Linked DNA regions of Sus scrofa. The protein of the gene in region 1 purifies or fractionates together with the protein of each later gene. This does not show direct contact. Links are inferred from orthologs where the notes say so. Each region holds a gene or a part of one and is shown on either strand. Other genes may lie near its edges.

What was found. The genes of interacting proteins can lie anywhere in the genome.
Region 2: the proteins of lysine-specific demethylase 6A-like (region 1) and PAXIP1 purify together in Homo sapiens (affinity purification with mass spectrometry; 6 studies listed by BioGRID and IntAct, with this or other methods). This does not show direct contact. The link is inferred for Sus scrofa from reciprocal best matches to the Homo sapiens genes KDM6A and PAXIP1.
Region 3: the proteins of lysine-specific demethylase 6A-like (region 1) and PAGR1 purify together in Homo sapiens (affinity purification with mass spectrometry; 5 studies listed by BioGRID and IntAct, with this or other methods). This does not show direct contact. The link is inferred for Sus scrofa from reciprocal best matches to the Homo sapiens genes KDM6A and PAGR1.
Region 4: the proteins of lysine-specific demethylase 6A-like (region 1) and WDR5 purify together in Homo sapiens (affinity purification with mass spectrometry; 7 studies listed by BioGRID and IntAct, counting the BioPlex papers as one, with this or other methods). This does not show direct contact. The link is inferred for Sus scrofa from reciprocal best matches to the Homo sapiens genes KDM6A and WDR5.

What each region holds. Positions count from the first base shown.
Region 1 is NC_010462.3:8,955,471-8,958,980, reverse strand, and holds part of lysine-specific demethylase 6A-like, read left to right. Parts: intron 1-50; coding exon 51-149; intron 150-261; coding exon 262-481; intron 482-996; coding exon 997-1,131; intron 1,132-1,580; coding exon 1,581-1,736; intron 1,737-2,221; coding exon 2,222-2,317; intron 2,318-3,510. UniProt on the Homo sapiens protein: Histone demethylase that specifically demethylates 'Lys-27' of histone H3, thereby playing a central role in histone code. Demethylates trimethylated and dimethylated but not monomethylated H3 'Lys-27'.
Region 2 is NC_010460.4:3,065,378-3,069,652, reverse strand, and holds the start of PAXIP1 (PAX-interacting protein 1), read right to left. Parts: upstream 2,801-4,275; 5' UTR 2,682-2,800; coding exon 2,601-2,681; intron 252-2,600; coding exon 117-251; intron 1-116.
Region 3 is NC_010445.4:18,051,343-18,055,478, forward strand, and holds the start of PAGR1 (PAXIP1-associated glutamate-rich protein 1), read left to right. Parts: upstream 1-1,336; 5' UTR 1,337-1,812; coding exon 1,813-2,294; intron 2,295-2,456; coding exon 2,457-2,539; intron 2,540-4,136. UniProt on the Homo sapiens protein: Its association with the histone methyltransferase MLL2/MLL3 complex is suggesting a role in epigenetic transcriptional activation. However, in association with PAXIP1/PTIP is proposed to function at least in part independently of the MLL2/MLL3 complex.
Region 4 is NC_010443.5:273,558,851-273,563,078, forward strand, and holds the start of WDR5 (WD repeat-containing protein 5), read left to right. Parts: upstream 1-1,428; 5' UTR 1,429-1,544; intron 1,545-4,188; 5' UTR 4,189-4,228.

The sequences.
Region 1 (3,510 bases):
GGACATATACATGTGTCTGTATATGTTTATATATTTCCATCCTCTTTCAGGTGCTACTCAAGTATTGGGAAAGTTCAGGATGCCTTTATATCTTACAGGCAATCTATTGATAAATCAGAAGCAAGTGCAGATACTTGGTGTTCAATAGGGTAAGGACTATGATACTGTTTTATTGATTCACAAGTTTATTGAGATACATCTAATGTTCTTTGTATTAATATTTCACTAGTCAGTTTTAGACAACTTTATTTCTCTTTCCAGTGTGCTCTATCAGCAGCAAAATCAGCCTATGGATGCATTACAGGCCTATATATGTGCCGTACAGTTGGACCATGGGCATGCAGCAGCCTGGATGGACCTAGGCACTCTTTATGAATCCTGCAATCAACCTCAGGATGCCATTAAATGCTATTTAAATGCAACTAGAAGCAAAAGTTGTAGTAATACCTCTGTGCTCACAGGAAGAATTAAGTTTTTACAGGTAATTTTTTGAAATAGCCTATCTTAAAAGATATTTCCATATGTTAACTGGCACAGGGAGGGTGGCTGAAAAGTGTCTTTTTGTTTTTATGTCAGCAACTTTTTTCATAATTTTTAATACTTTAGTAGTGTTTTACTTTTCACTTTAAGATAGTCTGTATTTAAAGTGTTCTTTTGAATTTTTACTTTGATGATGCATCTTAGTTTGCATTATTTTGACTGCTATTTACATTTTTAAGTTACAGCATTTTAGAGAAAAGAACACTGGTTTTCATTCATGCTTGAAATGTCATGAGACAGTATCCATGTGAATTCTGAAATAGAGAATTTAGCTTTGTTCTCATTCTCTCGAATATATTCTAGTCACCCTCTTTATATAGCAAATATCTGAAACCACACATTTACAGTTTGTTTTCTTTAAGAAATAAATACCTATAGCATTGAGGAAGTTTTAGTGGACTTGCTCTTACTCTGGTAGTCCTGTGTTAAATTTGCTTTTTACATAATTTTTCCTAGGCTCAGTTGTGTAACCTTCCACAAGGTAGTCTACAGAATAAAACTAAATTACTTCCTAGTATTGAGGAGGCATGGAGCCTACCAATACCTGCAGAGCTTACCTCCAGGCAGGGTGCCATGAACACAGCACAGCAGGTGAGAAGTTGGGTTATCTTCTGTAGGTGCCCAGCTTTAAGGGTTCTTTCCAATCTGTAGTGATCAGATCTAAGTTACTAAGTGCAGGATTGGCTTTTTCTAAAAGATAAAAATCCTTCAAATTTAATTGCAAAAGGATTATAGATCAAAATAAAACTTTGGGAAGAAACATGGAGTACAGTTTAATACTTGTGTATAATTTTCATGATTTCAAAAGGGAATCCTAAGGGACTGTTATAAAGTGATTTATTTAATTTTTTAGAAACCAGGTTTTTTGAAAGCAGGTACACATTCCTCCATTGATGATTCATTCAATTTTGATTTTCAATTACAATCCATGATGTCCACATAGTTTTTGAAGAGTATGCAGCTTATAATGTTTTGCAATTTAAAGTCATGAATTAAGAATATTTGGAACCATATTTGTGTTTTACTTCTACCATTCTTAGGCTTACAAAGCTCATCATCCAAATACTGAACCTGTTTTAGGCCTCAATCAAACACCAATTTCACAGCAGTCCTTGCCAGTGCATATGATTACTTCTAGCCAAATAGATGGCCTGTCCAGTCCTGCCAAGAAGAAAAGAACATCTAGTCCAACAAAGGTATATATGTACATTTTAGAGAAACAGAAAATTCCAATTAGAATGAAGCTCTCAGTCTCCTGAAATTGGTGCCTATCTTTTAAAACTATGTACATCAGAGAGAGGAGTCATCAGATATTTTGCTATTATAAGCAGTATTTCCTATCCTAAAATTACAGTATAATTTAAATATAGAAAGGAAGTGTAATTTTATGTTCTTTGATTCATTTTACCCATTTCCCTGCTTTTACAGATTTAACTTACTTGTTACCACCTCTTTCTATGTAAATTGTTGAATATAATGAACAGCATGTTAGGTCTTTGAGTCATAGTTTAGATAAGAACCTTTGAACATGAAGTTAAAGAATAAATGAAATTTCAGACCTCATACCTTTCAAATTGATTGTGTATTAAGTAAATTCTCCAGTTCCTAGTTATTTAGTATCTCTGTTGGTGTATTGATTTAACCAAATATTTTTGAATTTTTGAAAATAAATTTTCCTCAGAATAGTTCTGAGAACTGGGATAGTGGCCAAAGTGTTTCACATGCTTCAGTACAGCAACAAGTTCATTCATGGAGTTTGACACCACAGAAATTACAGGTATGAAATATTCTTTTGACAGTTTTAACTAAAGCAGTGAGGGTAGTAAACTTGAATTTTTTTTTTAGATATTCTTAAAATTGAATAACAGTAAACTAAATTAATATGTATATAAGTATAATGAACCTGTGTATTCCAGAGTAACAGAGATGATAACTCATTTTTGCTTTTTTAAAGAAGTAATATATCATTTGTTTGAAATTGAAGAATAATTAGAAAATAGGTTGCACAGGTTTAAAGCGTCTTTCTAGTTCCTGTGTCCAGCAACTTAATTTTCCTTCCCTACAGATAACATTAATAGTTTATTTTGTTTTTTTTACTAGCAATTCACTTGAAATGTACAAGAAACTATACTGGTCTCATTTATTTTTGTCCTTTATGCAAATGTCCATAGACTGTTCTGTGTAAATATTAGGACTGTGTCTTCTCCCCAGTTATTTCCCTGAAAGATTTGTCTATAAGACTTTTCATGTCTTTTATATTGCTTCTTTGCTGTTTTTTAGCTGTATAAAATAGCATTTACATGAGAGACAAACATCTTATGCTATCATGTGTGGACTCTGAAAAAAAGGATACAAATGAACTTATTTGCAGAACAGATTTACAGACTTTGAAAAAAACTTATGGTTACCAGAGACAGGTTGGGGTTGGGAGAGGGACAGACTGGGGTTTGGGAATGGAAACATTCTGAAATTAGGTTGTGACAGTTATAAATATAATAATAAAGTTCATTGAATTAAAAAAAAATTCATGGGAGTCGCTGTCTTGGGTCAACAATAACAAACCCACCTAGTATCCATGAGGACGCTGTTTGATCCCTGCCCTCAATCCCTGCCCTCGTTAAGTGGGTTAGGGATCTGCATGTTGCCTTGAGCTATGATATAGGTTGCAGACACAGATTGGATCATGCATGTCTATGGCTGTGGTGTAGGCTGGGACCTATAGCTGGAACTCACTGTCTAGCTTAGGAATTTACATGTACCCTTAAAAGACAAAAAACTTTAAAAATACATGGAAGCCACCCAATATTGATTGAATTTCTATTGTTGAATTTTTTTTCAGTGTTTCTGTTACACTTCTATTATTTCTGTTACAAACAGTGTTCCTTTTAAGTAGTTTTGTGATACAGGATTTTAAAGTTAAAGGGCAGACAAAAATTACCTTCTTTAGATGAATATTTTTTTAACCCTCCT
Region 2 (4,275 bases), on another chromosome or scaffold:
AGAGCTGCCTTCACCCGGTGGCCTCCCATCCAGGCGGCACCTAAGCAAACTCTGGCAAGAGCTGCGCTGAAACGTCACGCTGTGTGATAAACAGTAGAGTTAAATTCACTACCAACCTTTACGACAGGGAGATCGAAGACTTCCCGCGCTTCCCCCACTTCGGGATTGTCCCCGTCTTCCGAGATGATGTGCGAGGCTAGCGCATTGTAGGACACTTCCTTGGCTTTCCCGGCTTTCAAAAGCTGAATGACCTTGGAAAAAACCACATGAATTAAAATGGAAAACACCCCATTTCATTCTCAACTTATACAAATTACCATGAACAACAAAGTTTCTAATAAACACACACCACGTTTTCCACGTGGGATTAAGACTCTTTCACTGAGTCACATGCAATGAAACACGTGGGGACAATAAAAAGCAGCAAATCTTGATGCGCTGACTGGTCCATGTGGAAGCGACGGCGAACCACGTACCAGCCAGTCCCCGAGGACGGACGAGGTGAACACAGCAGAGACCCGGCTAGGACACAACCCATCCAGGTCTACCCTCAAGGCTTGGGGATGCATGGTTTCCAGTAAGTGGAAAAGTTTCTGCAGAGGAGCTACAGGCGTGGTGTCCTTGTGAATTCAGAGGCATCACCAGGCAAAAATACGCACGCGGTGTGGCATGAGGAGCATTCAACACAATGGGCAGGTGAAGACGATGATGAGACCCTCGATGGCAGTGTCACAGGCGCTACGCAAAACCCGCTGGGTTTTACCCCAAAATACAGAGCTGTCTTCTGGAGGCACAGAAAGGTGTGAAGCAGGGAAGCGGCCTGATCAGATCTTACAGGAAGATCCCTGACAGTGTAAGAAGAACACATGGGGTTGGCTGCAGGTCTGGAGCCAGGACGCCTGTTAAGAAACAGCTATGAACATTCAGGCGAAAGAGGCAGGTAACTAAGGGAAAAGCAGGTCATTAGGGGCAAGAAGCGATGTGAGAGCACCAGCAAGACTAGGTGCCTCCAAGGGGCCTGTGTCGGAGAAACACTGCGGGGATGAGGACTGTGTGTTTGTTTAGGGCACGTCCCTCTTCGGTGCCACTGTGAGACCTAGAAAGACACCCAGCACGTCTGAGGATGAGACCTGGGCCCCATCTGAGACGGGGCCAAGGCCCAGAGAGCGAATGAGCCCTCAAGCACCGAGCACAGGGTGGGGAGTGAAACCAACACACGTGAATGCTCTGCATCCACGTTTCGAGGATTCAGAGAATCAAATACTCTGGCTGTAAAGTTTTTTTTTTTTTTTTAGAAAATACTTTGTTTTGGATCAAAGTGGTTTGCCAAGGACACTTTAAAAGCCCTTAGACTTGATTAACAGTTGAGTGAACATGACTCCTGTTCAGCTTGGTCCAGGTTTTAAGTAACATTTGGTTCAGGTCCCTCTCAACAGCCAAAGTCCTAAAATGAGGTAGGAAGCAGGGAGGAGAAGAGTGGAGAGTGAAGAAAGGGAAATCCGTAGTCAGAAGGAAGAAGCCGTCACTCTGAGCTCAGCACCTGTTCACTATTAAATCCCAAGCCTCTTGACGCTTACCGTAGAAGAAAGGGTGCACCCTGGGAGTCATCCAAGGGCATCTGGTTCCTAAAATACCACCACAGACACCTCCAGAAGGCCCAAACCAATCGGCCTTTCACAATTCCTTCCATGCCACCCAAGTCTGTTAAGTATCTGTCTCCACTCCTGAGGAGACATCAAGACAGTACAGCCGTCTTTTCCTACACATGAGCTTTAGGAAAGCGAGTAGCCTGAGATTCAGCTGAATATTCAATAAAGGTAGGTTCCCACCATGGAAAATTAACATGCTGACGTTCCAACAGATGTATGACTTACAAAAAACTTAGGAAAGGCGACAATATCCTTTGGCGTGAGGTCACACAAGAAAATGTTTCGTGTGACCGTATTAACAGCGCATTACCCACACTTACTGTATATTTAGGAAAACCAAGAAACACGAAGTCGCTGGTAGTAAACTTCAAGGCCACACACTAGTTGCAGACGTACGACCTCAGGTGGCTGCCACACCAGGGGCAACTAACTGCCCCTCCGCAGCCAGGAACCCAGGCCCCTACTCAGCACCTCCTGCCAAAGTTCCCGTAGCCAACCCGTCCCCGCGGGACCCACTGTTGGCGGGGCCCAGGCAGCTGGAGCTGGCAGCAGGTAGGGTGTCCCTGTCTGGATTCCTCCCCACAAAGGGGCAGAGTGGGAAGCGGACAAGGCAGCTCCGCGACAGCACCCCGGTCCCCCACCACGCGGGGACCGTGACAACCGACTCTTAGCGCAGACCCCCACCCACGTGCCCTTCCCCCCCCCATCTGGGCACACCCTCCTCTTCAAGTTTCCACTCCCAGGACCTCTCCTTTCCCCGCCCGCGGGTCCCGCAGACCCCCTTCCCTCCGGCCCCCACCGCCGGCCTGCTGGGCGCCAGGCGGCCCGGCCTCCGCGCAGCCAGGCCGGCGGGCTTGGGGCAAGAGGTCCCGGACGTTCAACGTGCAGGCGCGCGCCCGGGGCGGGAGCAGAGCCGGGGACGCGGAGGACGGTGCGGGGGCGGTGTGGTACCTGCGGGTCGATGTCGCCCACCGCGTAGTACTTGACCTCCCGGAACATCTCCTCGGGAACTTTGGGCGCCTGGTCCGACATGGTCGCGGCGGCCCGAAGGCTCCGCGGCGGCTCCTGCCCCGCCCGGCCAGCCCCGCGGGGCCCGCTCCCCAACGGCGCGGCCCCGGCCCGGTCCTGCAAGTCGGGCCCGCTCCCCCGCCCTCTGCGCCCCCGCCCGCGCCGGGCCGCCCGAGCGCGGGAGCCGCGCGCGCCCTGCGGGCCGCACCATCCCGCCCGACGCCGAGGGGGAGCGCCCAAGTTAGGCGCTCGGCCCGCCCCACCCGGTGTCCGTCTTGCGGCCCGCGGCACCGGGGACACGGGTACCGAACGGCCCACTCCAGAGCCAGGGGGCCGTGGCCGCCGCCGTCCCCACAGCAGGAAGCCCCGTGCTCGCGGGGAAACGCGCCCCCCCGTCAAGGCTGGAGTGGGCCGGTCCCGGGAAAGAAGGGTACGGGCGGCCCTCCCGTCGACACGCGCGGCCGCAAGGGCGGCGCATGCGCACCGCGGAGGGGCGGGCCGGCGACGGCAACCACGGAGGGAACGGGTCCGGCTTCGGGGTCTGGGGCGCACAGAGACGGAGCGTCGCCGGCTGCTGCCTGGCAGGACCCGAGGTAACGCCTAAGGCCCAGGAAAGGGTCCTGAGTCTTGGCTGGAGGATGAGGGCGCTAGGCCGCGTAACCAGCTCCCCGGGCGCGCGCTCGCGGCCAGTGGCTTCTCGCCGTCGCCCGAACCTGCTCCTCCCGGGACCCGGACCGTCAAAAAAACGAGCCCCGCGCCCCTCCCTCCGGCTCTGCTGACGACAGACGGTCATGACGTCTTCGCGCGCTCTGACGTCATCCGGTGGCGCCTGGAGACCGGCGCTCCGGGCGCACCTGCTCTCCCAGCAGCGCTCCGGGCGCACCTGCGCGGGCACGGGATGGGGCGGCGCTGCGGCTGCGGGACGCCAGGCTCCCCGGATCCACCGAGGCCCAGAGGCCCTGAGGCGCCTGAGCGTGAAAATGCACGTGAATCAGCCCCACAGTTTCCTCCCCCAAGTGGTTCAAACCATTACCCACTGCTGCCGCTACCTTCCAAGCGGTAAAGCCCTTTTATTTATTTATTTTTTATTTTATTTTTTGTCTTTTTGCTATTTCTTGGGCCGCTTCCACGGCATATGGAGGTTCCCAGGCTAGGGGTCGAATTGGAGCTGTAGCCACCAGCAACGCAGGATCCGAGCCGCGTCTGCAACCTACACCACAGGTCACGGCAACGCCGGATCGTTAACTCACTGAGCAAGGGCAGGGACCGAACCCGCAACCTCATGGTTCCTAGTCGGATTCGTTAACCACTGCGCCACGACGGGAACTCCAAGCCCTTTTAAATAAACGGTAGTGTAATTGGTTAGGAGAGAAACCTTTCCAAGGTACTGTGGCACCTTAATACAACCCTAACTCATCTCAGAGGCCTTTGTTGTATCACTTTAAGTCTGCGATAAGGGAGACGTTCTGAACGTGAAAGTTGACGTGGTCGGCTCATTGATCGGTACAATGTACACTGACTTTTTAAAAACGGTGAATAGGGTTTTGATTGTACACTTGTGTGTAATAAATGATTTTGTATGAGTAGCAAGTAAGGATACGATAAGCCTTTTAAATAT
Region 3 (4,136 bases), on another chromosome or scaffold:
AGCAGCCTTGTTTACAGCTTCTTTCCTGCTCCTGCATCCTGCCAGGCTCCTCTGCCAACCGTAGGCCTCCCTGTTCCCTGCTCTGTGTCCAACCTCCCTGCACTTTTGCCTGCCTCCCCTTCAGCCTCTTGGCTTCCCTACCCCTGCACTTCTGGAAACCTCCCTGCACTTCTGGAAACCTCCTTGCACTTCTGGAAACCTCCCTGACCATCTCCCAGACTCTCTTTGCTCTCAGCCTTCCTGCATCTCTTGCGGCCTTCCTGCACTACACCCTCCCGAGTCCCCTGCACCTCATCCCGGATCTCCATTTCCCAACTTTTTATTGTCTCAGCATCCCCCCCTCCCCCCCCTCCTCTCTTCCTTCCCTTCCTCATTCATCTCCTCTTCCCTCTCCACACCCTCCACCCCCTTCCTCTTCCTGCCTCCTCATCTCCCCTCTGCATCCTCTCCTCCACCCTCCTCCACCGTTTATTCTGCAAAAACTCCAGCACTTAGATCAGGCTGGGGGAGGGGAGCGGTGTCTGGAGAGGGCTCCCTAGCCCGGGCTCGCGACTGTTCTCTGCAGGGACTACCCAGGCCCAGACACCCCCGGGGTGCCTCGGGGTCGCAGAGCTGGCAAGCCGGGCCTCGTTTGTAGATTTGTGCAGGGGTGGCGGGTACTGTTCCGAACAAGCACCTGGTAGAAGGGAGGGGCGAGGCTCTCGAACCCTCCCCGGTCGGCCCGAGCTGACCTGCCCCGCCTGGGCTTTTTAACCCAGTCGGTTTGTTAAAGGCGTCGCGGCTGGAGTCATTCACGTGCTTTGTAACTGTAAGAACAGAAAAAATTGGACCAAAGCTCCCAGCTGCAGGGAGCAAAGAAGGGGCGGAGAGAGCTGCGATTATTTTCTAAGAGGACGAGAGAGGTTTGTTGCACGCGACAGTTCACTGGGGAGGCAGGGTCTGAGCCACAACGCGGTTCGGAGTTGGTTTGGTTTTGGTTTTTTTGTGTTTTTTTTAATATAAAAAAAAGCGTAGGGAAAAAACCTAAAAGTCTTTAAAAAAAAAAAAAAAAAGGATACATCAAACTGATTCTCCCTTTTTGTATGCCGGATGCTGCATGAGTCTGAAACACCAATAAACGGAGACTGCATGATACTCGCCTCCAGCCTCAGTTGGTCCTTACGTGCCTGCGCCGCGGGGCCGGAGGTACAGCCTCCTTTGGGGCACAACCTACTAGGTGATTTGCGCATGCGCCACCCCCGTGGCCATCTTTACTGTGGGCCGAAGCCTATCGTTCCCGAGCGCCTACCTGCGCATGTGCAAGCCTCCCCTTGCTTTCCTCTCCCAAGTAGCTTTGACTAAAGCGGAGCCTCCCGCGCCGTATCTGTGCGCCTGCGTACTTTGACCCTGCGCGGCCCGGGAGGCGGGTCTTAGCTCCAGGTGCGTACGGCCGCTGAGGTGGGGGACCTTCGAGGTGTGGGGAGAGGACGCCGCATCCAGGTGTAGAGCGGCGTAGTGCGGAGGCGAGAAGAGCGGGTCCGCCCGTCTCCGGCCCGGAAAGTGGTTTCTGCCGCTCGCTGGAAACCTCGGAGTACCGGATCTCGATCTGTGGGGGGCGGGGTCCTTGGAGGGGACTGAGCGCCCCCTCCTGGGAACCGGTGGTCTGGTCGCGAGACCGCTGTTGGAGCCTGATTGGTTAGCGAAACAGTCCCCGAACCCCGGGGTGATCCCTTTTTTTGGGAGGGAGTGGAGGGAGGGAGGGGGCGCGGGGGGAATCCCCGGCTTGGTACTCCTGCATCTCCTGGCATCGCTGGGCCCCTTCCCTAGTGGCTTATGTCCCTTGTCCGGGGTCATGGAGACACGGCAGCCACCGCGGCGGCGCCTCTGTCTGAAGAAGGGGAAGTGACCTCCGGCCTCCAGGCTCTGGCCGTGGAGGACACCGGAGGCCCCTCTGCTTCGGCCGATAAAGCCGAGGAAGAGGGGGAAGGAGGCCGGGAGGAGGCCGAACATGAGGGGTCCAGGGCCGAGGAAGTGCAGGGAGAAGCCCCCAGCACTGAGGGGGAAGAGCCCGCCCAGGGAGACTCCGAGGACTGGTGCGTGCCCTGCAGCGATGAAGAGGTGGAGCTGCCTGAGGATGGGCAGCCCTGGATGCCACCTCCCTCCGAAATCCAACGGCTCTATGAACTGCTGGCTGCCCACGGTACCCTGGAGCTTCAGGCAGAGATCCTGCCCCGCCGACCACCTACGCCTGAGGCCCAGAGTGAAGAGGAAAGATCTGATGAGGAACCCGAGGCCAAAGAGGAGGAAGAGGAAAAGTGAGGATTGCTTCCTTGATGCCAGGAGGAAATAGGGAGGGAGGTGGGACCCAGGAGCATGGGAAGTTAGAGGGAGGGGAAGAGCCCGAAGGCCCGGGAGAAGCACCAGTGGAGGTTTGGAAGGATCTCCCTCACCCTCCTCTCTCTCTCCACCTGTCCCAGGCCGCACATGCCCACAGAATTTGATTTTGATGATGAGCCAATGACACCAAAGGACTCCCTGATTGACCGGAGGCGCACCCCAGGTACAGACAAGAGTGGAGAATGGGGGGCGCGGGGGGGCCTCTGTTCCCACTTACTCCGAAAGGGACTCCCTGAAAGAGGTCTTTGAGGCGTTCTCTGATGGCTTAGTGGCAAAGGACCCAGCATTGTCACTGCTTTGGCACAGGTTCGAACCTTGGCCTGGGAACTTCCACATTCCATGGGTGTGGTCAAAAAAAAAAAAAAAAAAAAGGTCTCTGCTTGGTTCCTTGGTAGCTACACAAATCACAGCTTCAGGGGAGAGCGTGCACTCAGTGGTTGCCATCCTTCCAGTCTAGGTGGTACCCAATTTTCTTTTAAAAGATTATCACAGGTAATTCTATCATATTTCCCATTCCTTTGGTCTCATTTCCCCCCCACCCCCATCCCAGAAGTCCGAGTCTTCTTGGTCATTATCTAGCTCCACATCCCTATGCTACTGCGTACACCTCCTAATCTGACCTAGCTTCCCATGCCTAGAGTTTACCGTCAGAGCCATTCTCTCTCTCTCTCTTGTGTGTGTGTGTGTTTAGGGCTGCATCTGCGGCATATGGAGGTTCCCAGGCTAGGGGTCAAATCAGAGCTATAGCTGCTGGCCTACACCACAGCCACAGCAACATGAGATCTAAGCCACATCTGGGACCTACACCACGGCTCATGGCAACACCGGATCCTTAGCCCACTGAGTGGGGCCAGGGATCGAACCCGAATCCTCATGGATACTAGTCAGGTTCGTTAACCTCTGAGCCAAGACGGGAACTCCTCTCAGAGCCATTCTTGATTTCTCTTTCTTTCTTTTTTTTTTTTTTTTTTTGTCTTTTGTCTTTTTTTGTTGTTGTTGTTGTTGTTATTGTTGTTATTTCTTGGGCCGCTCCCGCGGCATATGGAGGGTCCCAGGCTAGGGGTCTAATGGGAGCTGTAGCCGCCAGCCTATGCCAGAGCCACAGCAACGCGGGATCCGAGCCGCGCCTGCAACCTACACCACAGCTCACGGCAACGCCGGATCGTTAACCCGCTGAGCAAGGGCAGGGATTGAACCCGCAACCTCATGGTTCCTAGTCGGATTTGTTAACCACTGCGCCACGACGGGAACTCCCGATTTCTCTTTCTTTTATGTCAACATTCAAACCAGCAGCAAGTCTTGTTAGGTCTGCCTCCACATTTCCAAATTCAGCTACTAGTCTCTGTCTTTAATGTGACACCCTGATCCAAGCCGTCTCTCTTTCAAAACATAAGTCAGCTCAAATCTGTTTTAAATTTTTTTAAATTATTATTATTTTATTTTTAGGGCCTCAAGTGTGGCAAATGGAGGTTTCCAGGCTAGCGGTCCAATTGGAGCTGCAGCCCCTGGCCTACACCACAGCAACACGTGATCCGGCCACATCTGCGACCTACACCACAGCTCACGGCAACACTGGATCCTTAACCCACTGAGCAAGGCCAGGGATCGAACCTGCAACCTCATGGTTCCTAGTAGGATTTGTTGCTGCTGTGCCACGACAGGAACTCCCAATTCTGTTTTAAATTCTCCGAAGGAGGAGTTCCTGCTTGGTGCAGTGGATTAAGAATCTGATTGCAGTGACTTGGTTCACTGGAGAGGGA
Region 4 (4,228 bases), on another chromosome or scaffold:
AGAGAGGTTTGGAAAAGGCCCGCAGGGAGGCCGGACTGGGGTAGGCGTGGTGAGAAGAGGATGGCTGCCTGTGAGAACTATGGGAGCGGTGATGGGGTGTATCAACAGAGATGAAACGGGCTGTGCTTGGGGCCAGGCAGCAGGTGGATGCAGATACTCTTCTTCATCCTGAGCTGGCTTGGTCACCTTTGGTGGTCACCGTCTCCTGCTCCAGGACACCTGACCCAAGGCGATGAGGCCTCCTGGGCACAGAGATCCACTCCCAGTCCTGCAGGGCCAGACAGGGATTTTGCGGCCCCTGCGTTCTCCTTGGAAGGGATCTTGGGCCAGCTGCCAGCCTTGTCTCCTGTATCTGTGACAACCACACTAGTATTCCCTGAGGCTTTCCACTTCAAATGCTCTGTCCTTGTTTGCACAGGTTCCTGTGTCATGTTCGGCGCCCCCCCCCCTTTTTAATTTGGCCGAGCCATGGCATGCAAAAGTTCTCAGGGCAGGGATCCAACCCTCGCCACAGCAGTGACAACGCTGAGGCCCTAACCGCTAGGCCACCAGGGAACTCCTAAGTGTTCCCATTTTTAATTGGGAAATAAACTGTGTTACTCTACCCACGGGCCTGGGTTGGGGCCGTGAGGCTGCCTAGCCCACGACCACCTCCACGACTCTAAGACCCACGTGGGTAGCAGAAGTGGGGCAGTGAGATGAGAATGTGCAGGATTTGGGGTGAGAACCCAGGCTCCAGGATCTCCTTGTGCCCCTGAGCCGTCCCTCTCTGGGCCTCCCCTCCCCACTTGCAGATGGAAGTTATAATACCTGTCTGGGCCATCACCCTGCAGGCAGCAGAGCAGCCTGCACGCGGTGACTATTCGTACCTCGGCGTTGGGGGCTCAGGAGAGGGCAGGTGCGCCCGGTGGGCTCCCTGCACCGAGAGGCGAGAGGCGGGCAGACCCCTCCGCCGGCCCTGCGCGGGAGTTGATGGGCAGAGTGCAGAGGACGCAGCCCCGGGAGAGGGCATTCTGAACACTTCGGAGCTCAGATTCCTCGCTTCACAGTTGGAAGGTGAGGGCCTCTGTACCGGGACGTCCCAAACATTGATGAAGACGCTCAGCCCAGGGCTCTGCCCAGAGCGCCGCCCTCTAGTGTGCGCGACGATGGAGGGCGGCGACCCCGCAGATGCCCCAAGTCAGAAGAAAGGTTGGGGCCCCGCCGCCGCTTGAATTCCACGGCGGCGGAACTCCACTCCTCCCTGGGGCGCCGCCGCAGAAGGACCGCCGGAACCTGTCACCTCCCGGGTTAACGCCTTTAAGCAGGAGCACACTGTCCCTTTAAGGCGTTGAGCCGAGCCGAGGCGTTTTGCTCCTCGCCGCTCCCCGTAGCTCCCCTCCGAGAGGCCGGCTTTGTGCGTTTGCCCCGCCCTCTCGCCCCGCCCCCGCGCACGCGCATTGCCGCTCGCCGCGCCGCCTAGTCGAGCTCGGCCCGGCTCCCGCCCAGGCGGCGGCAGACGCGACGCCCGGAGCGCCCGTCCTCAGCCCCTCGCCGCCCGGCAGGTAAGCTGGGGCCGCCCGGCCGGCGGACACGCTTCGGGGGGACGCGGGCTGGGGGTCGACGCCGGCGCACCCCGCGCCGTCCGTCGCGGCACGTGTTCTGGCGGGCCCGGCCCCGGCCCGGGTTCAGCCCCGCCGGGCCTCCCGGCGCAGACGCCCCGCGCCCGCCGCTTCGCCTCCGGGGCGCGAGCTTGGCTGCCCTTTTCCCCGCCGAGCGCCCAGCCCCCTCCGCAAACGGACTCGCACGGACCGCCGCGGAGCCCCTGGGACCCCCAGCTTCTCCCGCCCCCAGCGGTCAGGTGACGAGCCCCCAGCCCCGGGACTGCGACTTCCTTCTGGAGCCGGCGTGCATGACCCCTTTGCCTCCAGAGAAGCACCCCAGACCCCAGAGCCATCCAGTGCCTGGATGTGGCGCGCTGTCTGCCTTCCTCTGCTGCAGGGACGCCCCCACCTCAGCCCGCTCTGTACTCCCAGCCCGAGGCAGCCCCAGGCCCCATTGCTCCCTGAGAGTTCGGGGTTCCGGGGCTGCGGGGCTGCCGTCACGAAGGGAAGGCCCACCACGCCCTGCGGTGGAGCCTCGGACCCCTTCCAGTCTGGCTCGCGAGGGCCACTTTGGGGGATGTGGAAGATCATTCCTGGTGCCTTCTGGTCCCGCTTCTACCCGCTCAGGTCCCTTAGCCCCCGTCTGGCAAGTACTGAGTTAGACACTCTCCCCTGAGGTTGGCCCGGTTGGTAGAGGCAGCTGGGTAAGCTGGACCCCAGGTATGTCTGAGATTTCAGGTGGGGTGGTGAGCAGCGAGTCTCCTCACTCTGTGCGGGCCAGTTACCTCCTGTCTCGCCACACCTTGGCCCCAGTCTCTGGGGTGGCGCCCAGGCATCTGCATTTCGAGGCAGTCCAGGCGAGCACTCTGAAGTTTGGGAGGCTCAGCCTTAGGTGGTCAGACTCACCTGGGAGCCAAGAAGGAGCAAGTCGCAGGTGCTGGGGAGGCTGGCTCCAAACAAGGTGTCCAGAAATCGTATTTCTAAAGGTTGATTTCTGTACGTTAAGGTGTTGCTAGCTGAGGAGTGGGGCAGGGCTGGGGCACTTTTTCTGTCCCCCTATTGGATCCCCCGCTCCTCACCTGAAGGCAGCCAGTTCGCCCCACCTCCTGGTGGGTCTCAAGCCTCTGTGCTCCCTTTCGCACCCCAGACAGAGCCTCTTCTGTTCCTGCACGTGTTTAGCTCGGGGGAGGGGGGGCCTTCTCGCAGCTCTTGGCCTTGGTCTCATTGCCTCCGATGCTCAGTTCTGTGCAGAGGACTCTTCGGCCCACTTGTCCAGCCCAGCAAAGGGCAGGCAGTGCCGGGCTAATTGGCACGGCCTGCTTGCACTAACGACAGTCACAAGCGGCGAGTGCTTCCTGAGCCCCAGCTCTGTGCCAGCACTTTGCCCCCACACATCTGCTGACCTGCCCCTTCCTTGCCCTCCCCCAGCCCAGTACTTGAGCTTTGGGTGCTGCAGGCTCCATCCCTGCGCAGGGAGCCTTGCTCAGGTGACCAGCTGTTTCCCCTCCGCACAGCTCTGGCCACTCTGCACAGCTGGGTTGCGTTGACCTTTCTCTCCCATCTTCTTGGAGGGAGAGTTTGGGACTTGCTCTTGGTGATGGCTCCTGCTCCGCCTCAGTGTGACGAGAAACCTGTGCAAGCTTCCAGTTTGAGGCGCCAAGCTAGAATGTACAGCTTGTGAACCCAGCAGGTTAACAGTGGTGCCAGCTTCCGGGAGGTGGCTGGCCAGTGGGACTTGCGGGATGTCTGGGCGGCTCTGGAATAATGCTTGCCCTTGTTTCAGAATCACCTGGTGTGTTTCTGTGCCAAGTATCCCAGTGGCAGAATCCATTCTTGTGACAGAGGAAGCCAGTTGTACTGTGCAGCTTTTGAGTGGTTCCCGTTTTCATGCTGAAACCTAATTGAGCTGCCTCTTTCCCCCTTCTCTGCAGTGGGTCTTGCTTGCATAGCATCTGCGTACTTTAGGCTGCTTCTGTGGAGGGCTGGACTGGACCATGGGGACCCCAGTGGGCAGGGCCGGCTCTGGTTTGTGCTTTCTGGCCATGCTTTCGGCTCTTAGTGTTTTGGAAGCCGCCTTGTGTCTGCAGCCTGCACCCGGGACCTGGCAGCCCCTCCCCAGGAGGTGTGGACCACAGGCCCCGCTTCTGTGTTTTCAGATGTGGCTCTTCCTGCTCTCATGTCCCTTGGGATGTATTTAAGGATTTGGCTGAGTTTCCAAACTTCTGCACCCGGCAGCCCAGTCTCCTGTAATTTGGCGTGTTGGTTTCCTGACAAGACGCCTTTGGTCCATTGGGTTTCTTCTTTAATGTATCAGGGACTCTTTGAAGGGAGCCGCCTTTTGGCTGCCTGGACTGTGCTGCATTTCTACAGACTTCTGGGTGACAAACTAGGAAGCACCCTTGAGGGCGGGGTCTCTGGCCACTTTCACTGAAGGGCAGAGGGCAGCGCGGTACCTGCAGGGTTAGTGTGCAGTCAGGGTGGCCGGAACCTCAGGTTGGGACCGTACCTGCCATGGGCTCCGTTAGGCGGTCCGATGTTTTTGTAGTCTCTGTCCTGGACACTCTTCTGAAGGTTGGTCTGTTTCCTGGCCTCGTCCCCGCTGCAGGTTTGCATTAGCTGACGGCGCTCCCCACCTGCGGCTTCTG